Zea mays: one gene and its partner. The protein of the gene in region 1 interacts with the protein of each later gene in a pairwise test. Links are inferred from orthologs where the notes say so. Each region holds a gene or a part of one and is shown in the gene's direction. Other genes may lie near its edges.

The links. The genes of interacting proteins can lie anywhere in the genome.
Region 2: the proteins of Transcription factor PHYTOCHROME INTERACTING FACTOR-LIKE 15 (region 1) and Transcription factor PHYTOCHROME INTERACTING FACTOR-LIKE 13-like interact in binary tests that used the Arabidopsis thaliana proteins (3 or more experiments, as listed by UniProt). The link is inferred for Zea mays from reciprocal best matches to the Arabidopsis thaliana genes PIF3 and PIL5.

Annotation. Positions count from the first base shown.
Region 1 is NC_050103.1:1,249,804-1,253,876, forward strand, and holds the start of Transcription factor PHYTOCHROME INTERACTING FACTOR-LIKE 15, read left to right. Parts: upstream 1-1,273; 5' UTR 1,274-1,423; coding exon 1,424-1,581; intron 1,582-1,665; coding exon 1,666-2,752; intron 2,753-2,824; coding exon 2,825-2,917; intron 2,918-3,030; coding exon 3,031-3,096; intron 3,097-3,174; coding exon 3,175-3,240; intron 3,241-3,346; coding exon 3,347-3,835; intron 3,836-3,921; coding exon 3,922-4,035; 3' UTR 4,036-4,049; intron 4,050-4,073.
Region 2 is NC_050096.1:258,572,712-258,576,211, reverse strand, and holds part of Transcription factor PHYTOCHROME INTERACTING FACTOR-LIKE 13-like, read left to right. Parts: coding exon 1-90; intron 91-176; coding exon of another isoform or gene 177-188; coding exon 189-345; coding exon of another isoform or gene 346-419; exon of another isoform or gene 420-1,421; intron 1,422-3,500. UniProt on the Arabidopsis thaliana protein: Transcription activator. Negatively regulates chlorophyll biosynthesis and seed germination in the dark, and lightinduced degradation of PIF1 relieves this negative regulation to promote photomorphogenesis.

The DNA of each region.
Region 1 (4,073 bases):
TCCATACTTCTGTGAGTACCAAAATTGTAGTTACATGTTGGTAATGCATCTGGTATAACACATGCAATCTCTTCTCTGTGCAGGGCCAATCTGGGGCGGCATCCAACAACCCTCATGAAGGGTACAACCTAACGCAGCACCAGTCCAACCGCCCACCTCCATGAGAGTTATGTATTTAGTGTTTCGAACACAAAACTTATGTTGAATACTTGTCAGAGCGTGTAAACTTGTGTTGATACTTCTGAACTTCTGTTAATACTGTTTGTGTTGAGAACCTCTCAACTTATGTTGAATACTTATGTCAGAATTTGTGTTAATACTGTTTGTGTTGGCTATATATGTCTGTGATGTATATATGTGATATCTATGAAATATCTTTTGTTTGTTTGGATGGAATAGGGAAAACAAATAAAAAAGGTGTGTACTGGTCTTGACGAGTGTAACACTCGGCAAAGCACCTCTTTGCCGAGTGTCAGAACCATAACACTCGGCAAAGAACCAAGACCTGGGCACCGGTATAGGTTCTTTGCCAAGTGTAATGGCTCTGGCACTCGGCAAAGAAGCACGCTTTGCCGAGTGCCACACCAAGCACTCGGCAAAGTACCTGACATGGGGAACCCCTCCGGCGGATTCTTTGCCGAGTGTTGTCAGGCAGTCACTCGGCAAAGACGCCGTCTTCGTCACCCGGCGCCGTAACGTCTGCTTTTCTTTGCCGAGTGTTCTCTGGCACTCGGCAAATCACTTTGTCGAGTGCCCGAGAAAATTTTTTCGGCAAAGAAGACTTTGCCGATGCACTGTGTGCCGAGCCCTCTTTGCCGAGTGCGACACTCGGTAAAACCTTTGACGAGTGTTTTTAAGGCTTTGCCGAGTGTTTCAGACACTCGGCAAAGCCGTCGGTTCTGATAGTAATTGTTAATTCGCATGCCCATAGACGGCTCGGTTTCTGTACCAGCAAGTACATGCACACTTGGGGGGTTGGGGTGCAGTTGCTTTGCGCAGGCTGTCAAGGTGCGCAGCAGGGAAGGAAGAAAGAAGCCATCCAATCATTTAGATCTCGCTGTGCAAGTACTAGTACTACGGAGCAGTAGTAGTAACAAGCTTGTGGTTGTGGGATCAGCCAACTGCGCAACGAAAAATAATTGCCACTGTATGCCCAACTCAACTCCTAGCTAGGAGAGGAAGAAGAGTACAAGGAAGAGACTGTGGCAAGCACAGCACAGTGGATACACACCTAGCTTGGCCGGTACAGAGCACCGTGCTTGCTTGTCCATTTCCGTCACAGCTAGCGCTTGCCCAGGTCCCCCACCTTATCAACAACAACTGTGCCCCTCCTGCCCCCGCTCGCCGCGAGAGCTCCCGTCCCGACGACCTTCCCTCCTGTAGCACTCTACAGTCTACACCAAGCAGCAGCGTCTCCTGTTGCATGTTGCACTGCACCTATCTACGACGTCCGTTCCCAGTGCTTTGCTCACCGACACCGTATCTTATGAGCAAGGAGCCCTGCTGCTCCCATCACCTTCATCAAGCCAAGCGTGTGTCCTCTGTCCTCTCCCAGCTGCGAGCTCCGACCCCCGGCACCATGTGAGCGGTTCCTTCTCATTCAAGCTCAACCTTGTCTCCGGGTTCTTGCTTGCTTGCTTGCTTGCTAACACCGCTGCCTAGCAGGTCCGACAGCAGCGACTTCGCCGAGCTGCTATGGGAGAACGGCCAGGCGGTGGTGCACGCGCGGACGAGGAAACACCCGCCCCAGCAGGCCGCCTTCCCGCCCTTCACCTTCACCTGCAGCAGCAGAGCTCAACAAAGGCAGCCGGTGCCGCCGCTGCTCAAGACGGGAGGAGGTCTCTTTGCCGACTTCTCCTCGGCCACCGCCGGCCTAGACGCCCCCCGTGACAACGCCGACCTCGACGACACCGTGCCGTGGATCCACTACCCCATCCCCATCGTCGACGAAGCCAGTCCCGCCGCGCCTGCCCTGGCAGATAGCTTCATCCCAGATTTCTTCTCGGAGCTGCATGCGGCGGCGGCGACGACGAGCCTCGGCCCTCTGCCACCACCACCACCACCACCACCAGCAGTCCAGCACACCGGCGACGACAACGACAACCGGAGCACCCCGGTTCCCAATCCCACCACCGGCAGAGGACCAGAGCCCTCAAAGGAAACCCACCGCGCACCAGTACCAGGTCCAGCCGGCAGGCCTGAGCCACAACCACAAGCTGAGCTCGCGCCCGCCAGGAAGCCTCGGCAGGAGAGCGGCGGCGGGGAGGCTTTGATGAACTTCTCCATCTTCTCTAGGCCGGCAGCCATGGCGCGTGCCAGCCTGCGGCAGAGGCCGCCACAGACAGGCACCGACAAGGCGTCCAATGCCACCACGAGCACCCGCGTGGAGTCGACGGTGCTACAGTCGGCCAGTGCCAGTGGGCCGAGAACTGCAGCTGCCCCCGCCGTGTTCGTGGACCAGAGGACGGCGTGGCCGTCGCAGCAGCCCAAGGAGGTGCGGTTTCCATGCGCAGCAGCAGCGCCACCGCCGACGCCGACGGCTGGTAACCTGCAGCAAGAAAGACCTAGCAACAACAACATGACTCCTCCGCAGAAAGAAGTAGAGACCAGGAAGGCGTCAGAGGCTGCGGGCGCCACCGCCACCTCATCGGTCTGCTCCGGCAATGGTGCTGGGACAGGAAAGGACGACGAGTCCTGGCGCCAACAGAAGAGGAAGACCCTGCAGGCCGAGTGTTCCGCGAGTCAAGATGATGTAAGCAGAGGATGTGAAGATATCGCACACCTTGGACACTGGAGTATCTAACACTGGTTCTCTTCTCTTCAGGATCCTGACGATGAGTCCGGTGGGATGAGAAGATCGTGCAGCAGAGGTGCGAAGCGCAGCCGCACCGCGGAGGTGCACAACCTGTCCGAAAGGGTAAGTCCCATGCCAATATGCCATGCGATCGATCTCGAGCTGGAGCCTGGAGCTGTGCACTTGAACTCACCGCACTGTAATGCATGCAATGCAATGCAACAACAAACCTGCAGAGGAGAAGGGACAGGATCAATGAAAAAATGCGTGCCCTGCAAGAGCTCATCCCCAACTGCAACAAGGTATGAAATGTAGATGGTAGATGGAACTGGTAGCAATAAACAGATGTATCGTCTCATCATCTCTCTCATTGCGCGCAGATTGACAAGGCCTCCATGCTGGACGAAGCGATCGAGTACCTCAAAACCCTCCAGCTTCAAGTGCAGGTACACTGACTAAAACTCGAAATGTAGCATGGTTCTTCTTCCATATAGATCGATGCACTGACAAGATATATGGTGGTTCTCTTTGATGCACTGACACATCACACAGATGATGTCCATGGGAAGTGGGCTGTGCATTCCTCCCATGCTGCTGCCACCAGCCATGCAGCACCTGCAGATTCCTCCGGCTGCTGCTCACTTCCCTCATCTCGGCATGGGATTGGGTTACGGGATGGGTGTCCTCGATATGAACAGCGCGGCGGCGGCGGCGGCGGCGGTTCCATTTCCGCACATGCCCGGTGCTCACTTCCCTTGCCCGATGATCCCAGGCGCGCCACTACCACGGGGTCTCGGAATCGGAATGCCTGCCAGAAACACGATGCCGGTGTTCGGAGTCCCTCCTGGGCAACCAATCCAGCCACCATTCCCATCTTTGGCGGGCCTTCCTGTCAGGCCAAACCTGGCACCTCCTCACGCCTCCTCAGCCGCCATGGCTAACATGGTGCAGGAGCAACAGCAGCAGCAGCAGCATCAGAGCCTGAATAATGGAGCATCAACAGCAGCAGCAACAGCATCAGATCCTCAGACTATCGTGCAGGTAGCGTTTCACAAATAGTGTATATAAAAATAGCTGAAAAGATCTTCGCCTGGATCTCTTATATCCAAATTTCACAATGGTTCCAGGCTGAGAGACAGCATTTTAGTGTGCCCTCTTCAGCACAAACCGAGAGCGATCAGTTTTTGGATGGTGGTGGCAACAGGGCTATTTGTACAGGAAGAAATGAGGCTGAAACATGAAAAACACTCAGCAGGTGAGTCTCTGTGTGTGTGTGACC
Region 2 (3,500 bases), on another chromosome or scaffold:
CACATGCCCGCGGTGGGCATCACGGAGCCGTACGGGCACTACATCGGCGTCAACCACCTGCAGCCGGCGCCGCCGCCACCGCAGGTCCAGGTCCGGCCGCGCGTCCCCTGCTGGCTGCTTCATTTTTTTTTTCTTTTCTACTTTTTGTGTGCTGTGTGGCTGACAAGTCTGGGCAGCACTACGCGCAGGGCGTGAGCTACTACCCGCCGCCGCTGGGGGCGACGGCGAAGGCCGTGCAGCAGGCTGCAGAGCTTCACCACGTGCCGGGGCCCGGCGGCAGCATCATGCCCGCCGGCGCCGCACCCGGAGTGCTGCTCCCGGAGAGCGCGCAAGGCAGAGGGCCAGGTACGGTGCCATGCGCTCCGCCCTTCTCATCCTCCGCTTCAGTTTTTGGGCTACAAATGGGAGCACTACGATGAGATGACAACTGCGGCCCTGTACAAGAATCTACTGTTCGCTTCAGTTTCTACGGGTTTGCATCTCGATCGACGAGTTCGGTTCTTGCCGAATAAAGTTGGGTAGCGTGTAAAGCGAGGGGACAAGTACGATACGGTTTGACTGTTTCAAGCCTTCCATCACTTACCATCGGCATCTCTGCTGTCAACGAAATCGGAGGAGTTAGAGCTGGATTACGTGCCTCAAGGTTTGCCACATGGGCCACATTTAGTGCTAGATCGTTTTGGGGGACCCATGCGCTAGTAAAGAATCCTTTTATTTTTGTGCCTCCTCACGGTCTAAACGATCTTATAAACCAGGGGAAATATTCAAAACTTATAAATTTTTATCAATAATTAGTGAAATTGTTAGAGCATAGAACTTATATCAATAGGTTTGTGTTAAAAATAACTCTAAAATGGTATTGATTTTTTATCCTCTGGCTTTATATTATAAAATAAAATAATGATTAAAAAATAGTTTACATGACTTTTCTTTCTCTAGTTTAATATCATTACTATTTTTAGATGGAGGGTAGATGGGAGTGGCTTTTTGTTTGTAGCTCAAGCTCCTTAGCTCTATGATACACTAACTTTTGTGAGGAACACATGGAAATTGATAAGAGTGATTATGACTGGAATTGAATAGAAAGCAGTGAGAAACATATTTTTAGCTCCTATATCTTCCAGTTTATATGGTGAAGTACTTCTTGACTAATCCACACTAACATATATGTGCAATTGCTGTTTGGCTAGCCGGAAATGATTTTTAATCGATAATCCGCTCCATGGAGCGCTACCAAGTGGCCTCTAATTCTTAGCTCCTGCTCCTTAATCTCTGATGGAGTGATTCTAGTTAGAGAGAGATTAATAAGGTGGGACAGTACGTGTGGAAAGCGATTTAGGTGACATTTGTAACTGGAGTAGTGAAAAGGAGTTATTTCTCCTAGGTTCTAGTGTAAATAAAGAAGTATTTTATTTTGTCAATTCCTTGAAAAAATATGTGAATTTGTTCCTCTTTATTTTTATTGAGCAGCGGTAATTTGCATAAATAAACCTCTTCCACACACCACGTCAAATTCCAATGCCGATTTCTTATTAATCTGACAAACAATAAAAACATAGACACACTCACTCATAAATGCATGGATATAATATCCCCATGTGCGCCTCTAAAAGACCGAGTCCAGATCGAGAGATCTGGAGACTGTCGAAATTGCCACAAAAACACCTTGCTATCGACGAGCACATCGTCTACTATACTAGAAAACAACATTGTTTAATCTTAAAAAAATAAATCTAAAAAATATAAGTATTTGTGTTAGCTCAATGACTTGAACACGAGTAAACAAGTTTCACCATAATTTAAAGAACACCTAACTAGTAACCAGTTAAGCTACACTCAAGTTTGCGATTCAGATTTGCGACCACAACGAAGCCGCTCGTATTAATTGTTGTGCACTTGTGTTATATTCTTTAGGACAAAGTTACATAGCTTTTTAAAAGTAAAAGTCACAGAGCTGCTTACAGAAGAGAGGAGGGGAATGCATATAAGAAAGAAAAAAAAATGATGGGCTAGAAAGGAAACTAGCCTTTTGGAGTTCAGGTTCTGCCCAATCATTGCCAGCACAATGGAGAAGAAGGTTCTGTGCTCCGAACCTTTTGTTTAGTGGAGCAGCAGCACCTAAAGTAAAGTCAGCTCACTTTTCAGTCATTATTAACACAGGGCCCTGAAAAGCCGCCCTGAGAAGTGAACATTGCAGTGAGGTAAGGTAGTACTCCCTAGTCTCTACCCAGTGGCATCGATCTCACGAAAACTACGTAACGTCTGACCATTCTGCCATGCCAATACTGTTAGAATCTATACTGTGTAGGATCGATTCCTAAGTCCTTAGAAAACCAATCCGTAACTGGAAGTGAAATCTTTATGACGAGTACATCTCTTCTACTAAGAGGAATAGGAAAACATACCTTATTGTTGGAGAGTTGTAGTTGCTGTCTTCATATTGTTGTCCTGCAGAGAAACAGCACGCATCGAATCCGAGCTGCCGTTGGTTGTAGCGTTTCCGGACACTCCGACACTTAGGCGATGGGGGCCTCTGGTAGCTAGGGTTTTGGGGCGAGGTACTTGCGTTAGTTTTTCCTGCGACCCCTTAGTCCTATATATATAGCGTCGTGTGCCTGGGGGCTCCAACCGAGGTTAGCGTGGGCCCTCCCGATCAAGGGCCCGATTAAAGGAACGATAGTTGGGTTAAGCCCAATCCAGTCTCTATTGACCGGCTGTAGAGGACACACCCAACAATCTCCCCTTTGTTCTCTACATTCCTTGTACTCAACTTTTCTGGATTCCATCCCTCGACAAGTTTACACATAGAGACCAATGCGTGACAATAACCGATTAAGTATCATCGCACTCATTGACTACAACATGCTCTCCTGCTTCAGAACGAAAAGAGACTTCATTTGGTTGCAATCTGTAGCCCCTTTGATTCAAGATCATAGGTACTCCCTTAAAACCCATGCCGGATGCGTGCTTACTAAACACGCTGGGTAGAAGACCTTTTGTGAGCGGATCCGCTAGCATCTGCTATCTTCTGTTATGCTCATCTTTTATGATTTGATCCTGAATCTACTCCTTAACAACATAATACTAAAAGTCAATGAACTTGGCAGCGCCACTTGACTTGCTGTTATAGGAGTACGGTACCGCTGGCTCATTATCGCAGTAAATTCTCAGTGGTCGCTCTATGCTATCAACCACTCTTAATCCGGGTACAAATTTCTTTATCTTTATTGCCTGCCCATTTGCCTCATGCATGGTTACAAACTCAGTGTGCATTGTCGACGATGCTCTCGCTGTCTGTTTGCAACTTTTATAAGAAATAACTCCCCCAGATATAGTAAATTTATACCTCGAAATAGGGAACTAGATCTTATATTTGTTAGCATGAGGCCATTTTCGTACCTTAGAGGTACATTAGAGCCTTCTTAACTGCTTAACAGTGTTCTATGCTTGGGTTGATCTGATATCTCCCAAGCATCCCGGTAGTAAATTCTAAGTCAGGG